Linked DNA regions of Mytilus edulis. The protein of the gene in region 1 interacts with the protein of each later gene in a pairwise test. Links are inferred from orthologs where the notes say so. Each region holds a gene or a part of one and is shown on either strand. Other genes may lie near its edges.

Evidence for each region.
Region 2: the proteins of ribosome biogenesis protein BRX1 homolog (region 1) and probable rRNA-processing protein EBP2 interact in binary tests that used the Drosophila melanogaster proteins (3 or more experiments, as listed by UniProt). The link is inferred for Mytilus edulis from reciprocal best matches to the Drosophila melanogaster genes CG11583 and CG1542.

The regions. Positions count from the first base shown.
Region 1 is NC_092344.1:5,745,583-5,752,415, reverse strand, and holds the start of ribosome biogenesis protein BRX1 homolog, read left to right. Parts: upstream 1-3,824; 5' UTR 3,825-3,864; coding exon 3,865-3,981; intron 3,982-6,833. Other genes in the region: polyadenylate-binding protein-interacting protein 1-like, read right to left, coding at 3,273-3,405. UniProt on the Drosophila melanogaster protein: Required for biogenesis of the 60S ribosomal subunit.
Region 2 is NC_092344.1:92,387,743-92,394,575, forward strand, and holds the start of probable rRNA-processing protein EBP2, read right to left. Parts: upstream 3,017-6,833; 5' UTR 2,930-3,016; coding exon 2,879-2,929; intron 1-2,878. UniProt on the Drosophila melanogaster protein: Required for the processing of the 27S pre-rRNA.

The sequences.
Region 1 (6,833 bases):
TTCATTGACATTGGTATTTTCCTGTTTGGATATATAAATTAGATCGTGGGTTTTCCTGTTCGAATTGTGTACGCTAATAATTGTGGGGTCCTTTATAGCTTGCTGTTTGGTCTGTATCAAAGCCCTGTGTAAAAAGCCGTACTTTGACCTGTGTTTGTTATTATCAGGTTGAGAACAACCCTCCCTCAGACAAGGAGTCATTTTACTGATGTAGAAAAGAAAATAGAAATACCAAGGATTTGTATAGTTCTTCTATACAAAACCTTTGAACACTTAGAATTTTGTACTCAAAAAGAGGAGAGTTACATCATATTTTAAACAAATTTTTCTTAAAGAGGGGTCCACTTATTTTGAATAATATTAAACTGTTAAAGTAAATGTAGTAACATGGTTAAAGTCCAGGAATATTACTAAATTCTGGGACATGTTTTGACCATTTAATACCAGATAGATATATAGTTTTATGAGAAAATATGAGCCCTTTTGTACAAACAAATATATTATAACTTATATTGATCTCTCATAAAACATGTAAAAGGGATATTTATAACATTAAGGGGTTGCCCCCAAACTGATTATGATTTGGATGGAGAATTGTCTCACTGTCAGTCACACATACATAGACCAGATTTAATTATTTCTTGGTGAACAGGGAAAAATACTTCAGAAATTAAAGAAATGTCAAAGTACAAGTGATAAATCAAGTTTTAATATTGTCAAAACCTATTATTTTATGTTTACAAAAAAAAATTATAACCGCTCGCCTTTACTTTTCAAGCTTCGCCTCAAAAATTTGCAAATTAAATATTTTTTTATTAAAATTTTCAAATCGCTCGCTCGCCCCAAATTTTGGAGTCCAAAAATCCGTAGAACAAGAAATTAAATTGGTGTGGCCTTATAATACATTTGTACTTGAATCTAGAGTTTCACATATACTGTATATTCAGTAAGCTCCTGAAGTTTAATTTTTACAATTTGAAGATAGACGGAGTCTAACAAGATTTCGCATATCTGCTCACCATTTACTTATAGAGAAAGGTAGATATAGTAATACTCCCGGACACAATAGAATATGTAAGAGCTGTTGTAGAACTCACATTCAAAAATCCCTAGCAAGACCCTGTTTGGATTACAGTGAAACTTCTCTAAACCGGTCCCTCTTAATACCGGTTCTCCCTTCATACCGGCCAAATCAACAAGTCCTGGCCGGCGTGTATGTAAATAAACGGTCAGGTAACCTTATAAAACCGGCCACCCCTTTAAACCGGATACCGGCCGATATTTGTGTATTTGTGTAATCAAAATCAATAAAATATCACCTCATAAAACCGGCCTTGTCATTTGTAATCATTAGTCCATATAAAATAATGTTATATAAACAAACAAGTTAATCCGGTCAATTAGGACACCTGCATGGCCACTGAGTAGTGTTTACCTGTCAATGTCAAATCAATACCCGAATAAATTATCGGTTGAGAGATTATGATCTTCACCCACGCTAATCAATGATGATAATTAATTTTTTATTAAATGTTTTAGCTTGGCTACTTTATTTGATCATTTGAAAAAAAAAAAATTTAGGCAAATTACAGAAATTAATCACTTTGATCTTTCAAAATAAATCGTAAATAGATAGTGCTCATACTTAATTGGAAAATGTAATGTTTTATAAGTATAAAATTAAATCTTAGTGCCTATAAAATAAATCATTTATATGTATTTATGAGCATGTCTACGTAGCGCTGTAATGTTTGTGTACTGCTTCTATATTATTATCACCGTATGGTACCGATGATGAATGTGTGATTAATGATTTGAATAACATAATATATCGATATTAAAACTGTTTTGTTATATAGTTGCATTTTATTTGTTATTCCTGCAAAATAAAAAATAATAAAGATACAAATGATGTTTTAATATTTATTTCATAATAAATTTAGAATACGAAGCTAAATTTACACAACAAAACAAACTTTATGATTGATACATGGTCAAAAATACAAATGCACAAATATTGAAGGGAAGCAACTCTTGTTAATTTGAAATTCAACAAACCGGCCACCCCTGAAAACCGGCCGAATCCCGTGGTCCGATGGGCGGCCGGTTTTGAGAAGTTTCACTGTATATAGAGTTCTTATCAAATTTTTAATTTCAGTCTGTTTATTTTAAACTAGATATATATGTTCCAGACCGTATGAGTATTTGGACCGTACGCGTACGGTCTGGACCGTATGCGTACTTTTTCAAAATACTCATATGGTCGGACCGTACGCATACGGTCTGATTGATATCATTAAGAAGTTGCTTAAGTTTATAAGTTACAAATGCATGTAAAGTTCATGTACAGATCAACATAACTTAACTCTCAAATTAATATGGAAAAGTTCAATTGTAATTGGAATAAAAGCTTTATTTGTTAACTAATAAAAAAAATCACGCTTTTTAAATCTATCAATATCTAGTATTTAGTATGTCGATCAGTAATACATTAATTGAATTATGATCATAGAAATTTACGATATCGGAATTTAACATGATGTGGGACGACAATTTTAGAATATTAGAAACTTTACAAAAAAATGCAAATGCAAAGGAACATGAATGAACCGCAAACATGTAAATGTAAAAACTATATCATTAATTGTGGTAGTAAGTGTCACCTTGGGCGAGAGTACCAAAATAGTATTCAGATATACAATTAAACAAATATTTAATGTCAATTGTTCAATTGTTCATTTTGTCCATCTAAAAGTAATTGTAATGACAACAATTTATAAAACTAAAAATAAAGATTGTGATAAATGGTTATCTCGTACTGGACCATACGCGTATACTCATACGGTCCGACCGTACGCGTATGGTCGGACCGTACGAGTATACGTATACGGTCCGGACCGTACGCGTACGGTCCAAATACTCATATGGTCTGGAACATATACATTGTAGAAGAGTGTTGCATCATCGACACATGCAGGAAACAATTGGCAAAAATACTTTAATTTAAAGTATCTATTATATTAATATTCCATAATCATTGACAGGGTTAGTTTGAATTTGAATTGATTCACTTGGACAAATACATAATTTTTGTACCTGATAGCAATAACAAATTTATATTTTAAGGAAACTGAAACATGTGATGTGTCCAAACTTAATTCTCCCTCAACCAGAATAAAGAATGAACTCCTGCATCACATAAACATATACTTCTATCAAATGAAACCTCATAAAGACAATAGCAGTAAAGACAGTATAGAAATACAACAAACCTGGACCATATGATAACCTTGCTTGTGTTGATTCGTGTGGTTTTCTCAATTCTTTCTTAGGGCTCGTTCGATTATCTGAAGAACGATCGGGATTAGACATAATGTTCATATCACCGTTAATGTTGTTAGACATGTCTTTTCTGTGTCTATCTAAAATATATGGATGTTACACTCTAATCTAAGGTGAGTTTTACGAAATCATTGCGAAACTTCATGTAAACAGATGCTCGAAATCATAATTTGGTGCGGGATTAACTAGCTGATGTTTCCAGTATAAACAAAATTTTGTTTTGATAATTTAAAGTTTAGATACTACTATATATTTTTTTATCAATCAGTATGTTCATAAATCAATATTTCTTATTCAGATATATTATTTATTGAACAAACAAACAAAAATTATACGGATACATCATAAATAAAAAGCTTATATTTGATATTTTGAAGATAAAGTTATATTTATCGAATTAATTATTGTCAAAATATATAAAATAATGTTTAATTAAAGGAAATGGATCACTTAATAATAAATTATTAACATATTTAAAAAAAATATTAGAGCACTTTTGCGGAGCAAATCACAAATGTAAACATGGCGAAGAAAAAGCGAACACGTGCTGATGTTGAAAAGGAAGAAAAGGCTTCTCAAAAAGAAAATGATGTGCACTTACCCACCACAATATCTTCAGACGAGCCACTGAAAAAAATTGTAATTTATAGTGTATTTGTCTTGATTTTTTTTTTTTACAAAAACATGATAGACAATTATATTTTGAAACCATGAAAATAGTATTTATGACTTCATGAGGAACCATTCAAATCAAGATTGTCCAATTCTGTATTTGTATTTCCCACTTCTAATTATTAGGATGGGTACATCAGATATTTCTTTTGGCTATTTTGTGACGGATTCAAGTGGTTTGGGTACAAGTTAGTAGCGCTTGCTGGGGACTTCTGATTAAAACACATCAGTTTTAGTGATGTACACTATTGAGTCTGAATCTTCATCCAGTTGCGCCCACTCAAGTTGGCTCCCATTCATGTTCGCCCCCTTTCACTGTCACACTGTACACCTTTTATTGGTTTTGTGTTTAAAAAATTTGTAATCAAGTTTTGGTAAGTGTATTGCTGTACACATATATTTTTATCATGGTTTCTAAATAAAGTGAGATTCTGACAAGTTGTTTTTGGGGTCATGGTAAGTGTTCATACATGTGACAGAGTTGTCAAGCCACAACTGGAGATTTGGAAATTTTCAGCTGGAGTTTGGGCCTCATAACTGGAGATTTTTTATCGACGTACGCAATGGTTTTTTCGTGTGTGTTTAAACTGCATATCTTCCTTTTTTGTTAAAAAAAGCCCAATGATTTCATACCTTCAAGCACCTGCATAGCCATTTTTACTTAGTAAAATAGAAGATAAAGGGGGGGGGGGGGGGTCAAATATTTATTCATCATATATAGTTCAAAGTTAAAGTGATCAGCCATCATATATAGTTCAAAGATAAAGTGATCAGCCATCATACATAGTTGGCAAAAAGTACCTCTGCTTTAGCCACATTGTCAACTTTAGTACCACTACTGAACATGTTTGTAAAAGAAGGTGTTGAATTGATAGAGTTGTGGGCTTTCTGGTGGGTAGCTGTCTCCATATTTTTGGTCAAGTAATTAGGGCCCCATAGTCAGCTTTGCATGAAGTGTAGTAAGCATTGTCTTGACCCTTGGCACTGGACTTGCACCATTTTTAAATTTGGCTAGATACTCATTACTGTGTCTTCTTTAATATTATGCTGGGGTACATGTATTTGATGATAACATGATACAGTTTGTATTTTGTCAAATTATAAGACAAACACACTTATATAGGTATTCCATTGGCCTAGATAGAAGACAAGACATAAATATCATATTTGAGTTGATTTTATTGTCTTTGAGGTTCAGTATAAACTAAGTCTGTTCCATGTTTTCAATAGCATCACAATTTATAAAGTCGATGTTTATACAACTGTTCCATTGTCAGTATCACTTTTAATCATCCAGACATGTATATTTAACTAGCTAGTTGATTACTAGGTAAATGCCAATCATCTTTTATTGTTGTATATACAGTCTATAATCCTTAACACCTTCATTGATTACTTAAGGCTATTTTCCTATTACCTTTTTGACACAAATTCCATTACAGGAAACTTCCGTTTTTCTCGGACTTTTCCTATATCAATTTAGAGTTTCTCGGACTTTTTCCCTGTCCGTATCTATTTTGTAAACAGAAATGTCTACTGAAATTTTTTCGAGATTGACATTTTCAAAAAGCGGAAGATTTCAAATTTTAACGGGAGGGACGGAAGAGGGTCTGAAAAGCGGGAGATTTTAACTCCCGCCGGAAGAATCACATGTATGAGTGTTTTGCTATAAACATTTTTGGTATATATGTAAGACTCTAAAGTGCGATGGTACTCTTAAGTGCGATGGTAACGCTAAAGTACGATGGTAACGCTAAAGTGCGATGGTAACGCTGAAGTACTATGGCGTCTCACGCTAAAGTGCGATGGTTGTTTGTTCGCTAAAGTACAATGGTGTGTCACCCTAAAGTGCGATGGTCCAAAGGGTAAGATTCGAAGTAATAAAACATCGAGGTTAAAAAAGTCTTTTTGCAAAAGCTATTATGCTAAGGTATAACATATGTGATAGGCTTTACAATTTACTGGTAGACTGAAGTGATTGTTTCTAAATTATGAAGTCCAACCAAGTAATAATTGCTATAAAGGTATTTTATGTTTTGCAAATATTATAAATCATGTAAAATAAATTTTTAACAATTTGGAGCGTATTGAATATTTGGATAATTGGTGTAGAATGCCGTTCACACTAATGTTACAACCTCCCTTACATTTGTCATTGAAAATCAAAAATACAAAATTCGTTCATTGTCGGGATATGCAACATTTATTTGTTAAAGTTTTAATCTAAATGCAAGAGAAATGCAATGTTCGCCGATCTTTCTCCTTTTTCGTATATAGTAAAATGGTCGACTGTAGGATACAAGTCCTTCTTCCAGCACTCGAAAAAATAAACATTGTGATTTAGCCGACAAAGAACGGTTAAATTAAATCAATTAATCGTAAGTCATGGACATTTGGTGTAAAAATTGTTAATAAAATATTCCTAATCTATCTTCTGGAATGTTCATTTTTGGTTTGTATTTAAACGACTGTTAACGTCAGTATCGAACTACGTTTCTAACGTCAATATTTTTGGGGACCATCAGACTTTAGCGTATGGAAGCATCGCACTTTAGCGTAGACCATCACACTTTAGCGTGACCATCGTAATTTAGCGTCCCCATTGCACTTTAGAGTCATACATATATATATATACATTTAAAAAATATCGTATAATTCAACTGAAATTTGAATAAAAATTTGGTGTGAATGTGTACAAATGGTGCAGGGTGCGAACAGACTTCGGGGGAGAACATGTGAGGACAGAGATGCAAACGTGTAGGGTGCATAAGTGTGTTGGACGTGTACGGACCTGATACCATTGAGTCCTCCAGATGTTT
Region 2 (6,833 bases), about 87 Mb from region 1:
TGATGGTTTGTGGAAAGAATATTTCCGGTAATCTTATAATGCTGCTGAAATTTGGAAGCTTTTGTCATGCATATTTCTTGACAATCATTTAGGTGGAATTAGATGATCTTCCTTTGTCACAGCAACTTTCTCATTTACTATTTTGAAGAGCATGGTAAGTCTTGCATCTTTTCGTCTTTGTTCAAGTGATCTCCATTCTAGGTGGCATTTTGCTTACACTAGAGTGATTATGGTGTTTGTTCATCTCATATCCTGCTTGTCTCTGGAGCATCTCTAGTGGGTCAATTTCTGTTTAATTGTATGGATCCTATACATGTAGTCCGAGATTACTCTGACTTCCAACTGCTGTTTTGCCAGACAAGCTGTGGACGTGGGACGTCAGAGCTCGTCCCATATCAAAAAGTGGATATTTGCCCGTCCAAAATAGATGCGCTGCTATTCCCTTCTGGTGCCAACAGACGACCTTGGAATTGTATAAATCAGGTATCAATTTGTTTTTTTTTTCATTTATGTCTTCATTTATGTAAGTTTCTCCTACCTGCCACCCTTTATTTTCTCATATTTAGACAGTTTTCACAGTGACCCATCGATTCAGACATTTTTACTTTTATTTTCAAATGGACATCAAGTTACGAGAGATTTTGCAACCTCGAGACTCAAATATGCAAAAATTTATACTTTTTTCACCTCCTTTATAGGAGATCGATATTTAACATTTAGTAGCCAACCACGATTTTTCACCTCCTTTACAGGAGATCGGTATTAAGCATTTAGTGCAAACCACGATAACATTAGGAAGCTCTCGGATATTAACATTGATGGCATTTTAAATGAGCCAGGTGTTAGATTTTATATTCATATTGACCTATGGTCATATGCAAACATCATTTCCCATAGTCCATTGTGCCTTAGTTTTTTCTCGGGATCACATGACAATCTTTCAAAATCAAAGTTAAAATGCCAAAACCGGTGGGTCACTGTGAAAACTGTCTAAATATGAGAAAATAAAGGGTGGCAGGTAGGTGAAACTTACATAAATGAACTAGAGGCTCTAAAGAGCCTGTGTCGCTCACCTTGGTATATGTGAATATTAAACAAAGGACGCAGATAGATTCATGACAAAATTATGTTTTGGTGATGGTGATGTGTTTGTACATCTTACTTTCCTGAACATTCTTGCTGCTTACGATTATCTCTATCTATAATGAACTTGGCAAAGTAGTTTCAGTGGAAAATGTTAGTAAAAATTTACAAATTTTATGAAAATTTTTAAAAATTGACTATAAAGGACAATAACTCCTTAGGGGGTCAATTGACCATTTCAGTCATGTTGACTTATTTGTAAATCTTACTTTTCTGATCATTATTGCTGTTTACAGGTTATCTCTATCTATAATAGTATTCAAGATAATAACCAAAAACAGCAAAATTTCCTTAAAATTACCAATTCAGGGGCAGCAACCTAACAACCAGTTGTCCAATTCATCTGAAAATTTTAGAGCAGATAGATCTGGACTTGATAAAGAATTTGTTTAGCAACTATAATTAAATGCATGTAATTGCATAACCCTCAGGCTTTTTTTATAGTATAATACTGTTCAAACGCTTGGGGGATATCTGGATTAAGATCGCTAATCACTTGTACCTGAACTTGTTCAGGTAGATCAACAAACCAGACAGGAGAATATTACCTGAAGATAGAAGATTCATTTGTCGAATTATTTAACCAAGTTTCCGCAAATGCTTATGATAATTCAGATTAAATAAATAAATTAATAATCCAGTTCAAAGTTTAACAAGTCGACCACGTGCTTTTATTTTGACTTACGCAATCAGCATCCCCCTTTTTAAGAAGTACAAAATAAGATGTAAAACAGTAAATTATTATTTCATCGCAAATAACTGGAGTACTGCTGTATTGTAACAATAATAAAGAATTACTTTAAAAGTTAAAAAGTAAAAACTTTTAATATTCATGATATTTCCTGTAAAGAAATATCGTATCGTAATTCCCAATCATTTCGTAGTTTACAATCAAATTGATACATCCGCGTTTCCGGTTTCTATTCAGACTCGGAAAGATGCAAGTTGCATAGCATCATTAAAAACCTTTTCATTTCACAATGTTTGCTTTACAAATCTTTTTAACCTTTTACATAACCTGTACGACTCGTTTTGTTGTTGCTGCAAACCAGTACCGGTAATGGGTTCATGACTTCTGAAGTTGACAGTGTCCGTGAAAAATAAGCTCAACATGATTTTTAACACCCATAACAATTACCAAAAATAGCAAGAAAACTACCTTCGTGATAGCTATTGGTCATTATCGACTAAGGGAAAGGGAGGGGGCATAAGGGCTTGGCCTTTGAAGTGTTACAAACAGCAATTATTGAAAATATATATATTTCTATATAGAATTTATAATGAAAATTCAAATAAATATAATTTAAATAAGCAATGAATTAGCATGTTCACCTATCCTTATGTGGAGGGATGAAATACTTTTGATCGCGCTACACTGTACGGCGTAGATACAGTTTATGATGGTGAAAGTTTCTCCATCGTTCAATTTTTATCCATGGAGATCCCTGCATACATGATACAGGACTGGCATATTTTTATTATTGGTCTTACAAGGATTAGGATACTCCAATTACTAATGCACTAACTTGGATAGATTTTAATAGCTCAGTCTACATGTAACTTAAAAAGTGAAAATCAAGCTACATAAGCTCAAATAAGTTGTACATGTAGATATGCGAACGTTCGAACCAACCTGGGATGATGAACTGATGTCTGATGAAACCTAAACGACAGTCGAAAGCATATTTCCCCTCAACTTTTACTACGTCATTTGTTATATACAGCAGAAATTTACCTGAGTATCAGAATCTACACTCTCTGAATCGGAAGAATCTAGGTCTGACATTTTTCAATGAAAAAACAAAAACACGTGTGTCAAAGAAAAACAACTAAATAATAGTATCCGAAGTCAAACAGGGAGACATGAATATATTACGGAAACCTGTGGCGGTACTGTGTTAAAAGATTCATGATAAAGGGCGAATACATTTCAGTTTTGAATGTATCAGATCTTTTATGTAAATTAGTTGCGACTTACTAAATAAAAATTCCAAAGGTGCAGATTCGACAGTCGATCGATTGATTATATTTATAAGGTCACACGATCGTTTTTAAATGACATACTCTGATGTTGCTATATATCCTTCTTAACACGTATGCCCTATTCCGCCAAAAACACAGGCATAATTTGGAATCATTGTTGTATACTTACCAAAACAACTAACAATAATACACCCTCCCCCCCCCCAAAAAAAAAAACCCTGAAAAAAATCCCACCAAATAGCAAAAGACATAAACTTGAAATCAACGAAAGATATATATATATATATAGAAGGAGAGAAAACATTTTATATTGTTCCACTGCTATATAGGAACATTCCAGCAGCGTCTGAATATGAAGTTTATATCTCACAGTTAATGCGCCGGATATTCCAGGGCTTGCGTTCCTTATCGCTCCTTCCATGATAGTTCTTCTCACAAGGAAGCTTTCAGTGTGGTATAGGAGTATGAATTAAAAATGATGGAATTAGTTCATACTTTGCATAAACGTTGATGTGTTAAAAAATAATAAAAATGATGAAACCGAGCATTTAAGCTACAGGTTGTGACAAAATTAGGCCTACACATTTTGTATGGATTATACAGGAAAAAAACCCATAATCATGAGTGTGATTAGAAGCTACACTGAATGATAGCATTGTAAATTAAATACGAGAAGTTAGCATTTAGAATATCTTTGAGAATATCAAACAGAAAAGATAGGGTGTCACCGTACGTTTTTCTAGCTAAGATATACATTTTTTCTTGTAGGTTCCCCTAAATATATAAATTTTAAAACATTTCAAAACCAAGCAAAAATAATCTACACTCATAAAAGTATTTTAATATTTATAAGTTATAATCTAATAAATTTGTTCTTTTAAATTAATTTTCACATTAGCTATCTGCATTCCTGCATCAAACTTTGCTATTACCTCAGGCTTGATTGAAAATCTGGACCGTAGGTACTCTGTTGTTTACAATACAAGATGGCGAAAGACACCTTTACTACCTTAAACCGAGAGTTCCAAATGGTGAAATTAAAATCATTTCAATTTTTGGTTGGGCACTTGTTGCCCAGTTTTTAATATTCTATGTTGTGCTGTTTATACTGAGTGTCTTTTGATACCGTTTTTTTTTGTCAAAGCGTTATCAGCTCATTTTTTTTCTCATGAGTGTGTGTGTCCCTAAAGCCCCGGTCATACTGTCACGTTTCAAGAGCTACGTTTTGAAAGCGTACTAGTAGCGAAACGGAAATATACGTAACGAAGCGTATCGAAACGTAGTGATCCTTTCTTCAAAACGGGACCTGCCCCGTATGTTTTAAAAATTCAACAGCAAACGTAACGAAAATAGACACAAAGTAGAAACCTAGTAAATACGTATCAAAGCCTAATGGAACGTAACAAAACGTGCTTACTACGTATCGAAACGTATCAATGTGTGGTGGAAACGTGGGTCTACACGTACTAGTATCATAGCAAAACGTGATATATAAGAACGTAGCACAAACCTAGTAAAGTTAAACCCTAGCTTTCAAAATAACGGGACACTTTTATTTAAAACCGTAGTTGAAACGCAGCATTTTAAAACGGAATAAAACGTGACAGTGTGACTGGGGCCGTTTATTTAGCTTTCGCCTCTCTACCGCACAAGGGACTCAATGGAAAAGCAAACTTCTTAACAACAGACATTGTATCAAACACCAGGAACATTCGTAACTGAGGCAATAATCAATTCTACACACCACCTGACCTGTAAGAACAGACCAGAGTACAGCTTCATACCGACTCTTTAAAAACATTTATCCAACACGAATTGATCTTATTAGAACCCAAAGATACTACTTTATTTAGACACTACTTAATTTTGATACATGAGTAGTTTTAAAATACATGTCATGATAGATGTTAGGCTAAATAGCATCTGAATTGATGAAGTGTTGTGTTTACACTAATTCCACCCGAAATGTTTTGATTGATAATTTAGTCTATACGATTTTTTCACTAGCTGACATTTGATAAATTATTAACCGCTTGGCCAATCATTACTCAATGTTCGGTATTTGTTTTTAGGCAGCAACCATTTGATTTTCTGGGGGGGGGGGGGGGGGGGGGGGGGCTATGTTTTTTTTTGGAAAAAAAAGTTTGTTTCCAGTTTTTGGAGAAAAAAATAATTTGTTTATGATTCTGAGAAAAAAAAATTGTTTGTTTCACCCTCAGCTGCCACTATATGTAATGCTAAAATTGAAAGAAAAAAATTGTTTTCGACTTGTCGCGAAAAAAATAGATTGTTTTTTGCCGCAGGCGAAAAAAAAAGTTTGCACAGAAAAAAAAACCATAGCCCCCCCCCCAGAAAATCAAATGGTTGCTGCCTTAGAGTTCAGACGTTTGTTTTGAGAATTTAAAAATAGAGAATAATTGGCTAAAATAATAGAGAAAGTAAATAGGGGGACCTTTATCGGGACTTCGAGATCGGGTGTTTTTAAGCTCGGGATTTCGGGATAGATCGACATAAAATAGAGAATACAGAAATGAAGAATTCTGATTTTATAGACCCTCATTTATTCGACCTTGGATTTTAAACTACAAGTATTCCAAAATCATTTAAAAAGAATGCAGTAATTTCTACAATTAGTTCATGAAAATCTAAATAAGAAATATTATAAGATGGTAGATTTGAAGCAGCTGAAGTTATAATATAAACAATCCTCAATGTGAAAGCATTTCACACGGTTTCAATTTAAAATATATGTTATAGTAGACTTTATTTGATATTGCACGCTCAACCCCACCCCATCCGTTTTTTTTTATACCAACTACCAACCATCTCCGCCTTATTTTCTTGGGCTCCTCCGCCCCACCACTTATTGAAAGCCCGGCTGAATCCAGCGCTGATCCTTGTAGTTTGAATAAAAGAAAATCACTAAAAGAATTTTATAAAACAGATTTATAAAGTAAGGATAATGACTTTGACATAACTGAAGCAGTCTGTCAAATGAAAAAGTAATTAAAAGGGTGTCTGGATGGGGGTCCTGCAATTCTTCAAGACCTTTTCTCTATTCTTTATAAATTTTGCCTAATATTTGTACATTTTAGCTCCCCATTATTCTCTATTCTTTTTTTTTTTGCCTTAAGTTTTTACCTTTTTTGCACGTTATTGTCCATTATTGTCTATTCTGTAAACCCCATCGAGACCCTCGTAAAGGGGGTGTGTGTATTTAATATTTTTACTTTAATTATAATAGGACCATATCGTTTGCATTCCATAACTCCTTTATTATTAAGCGCAATCCTATTTTTTTTTATCATAAATGTTTATCGAACATTGTCCTATTTTTTAGCCTATCCCGTCAGTTACTATATCATACTGATACCTTGATCTATTTTCGACTTTATAATATAATCAACAGTAGTATTTATGTCAGGTACCAGTCATATGACTGAATTGCGCAATAACAAAACAAACGCATGGGATTGAATCACAAATGAGACATTTGTAGCATGTTATTATTTACAATCTGATAAAAGTAAGTAATATACGACCAACATAATAATAAATAAATAACACAAGAGTTCCGTGATCCCATTTATAATAATTTTGATGCTGTTAATAATAAGAATATTGATTCGGAATCTAACTACTTGATTTCTGTTTAAATTTAGGTGTGCGGGTATGATTTATTTATGATACCCACAAATAAGTTATTA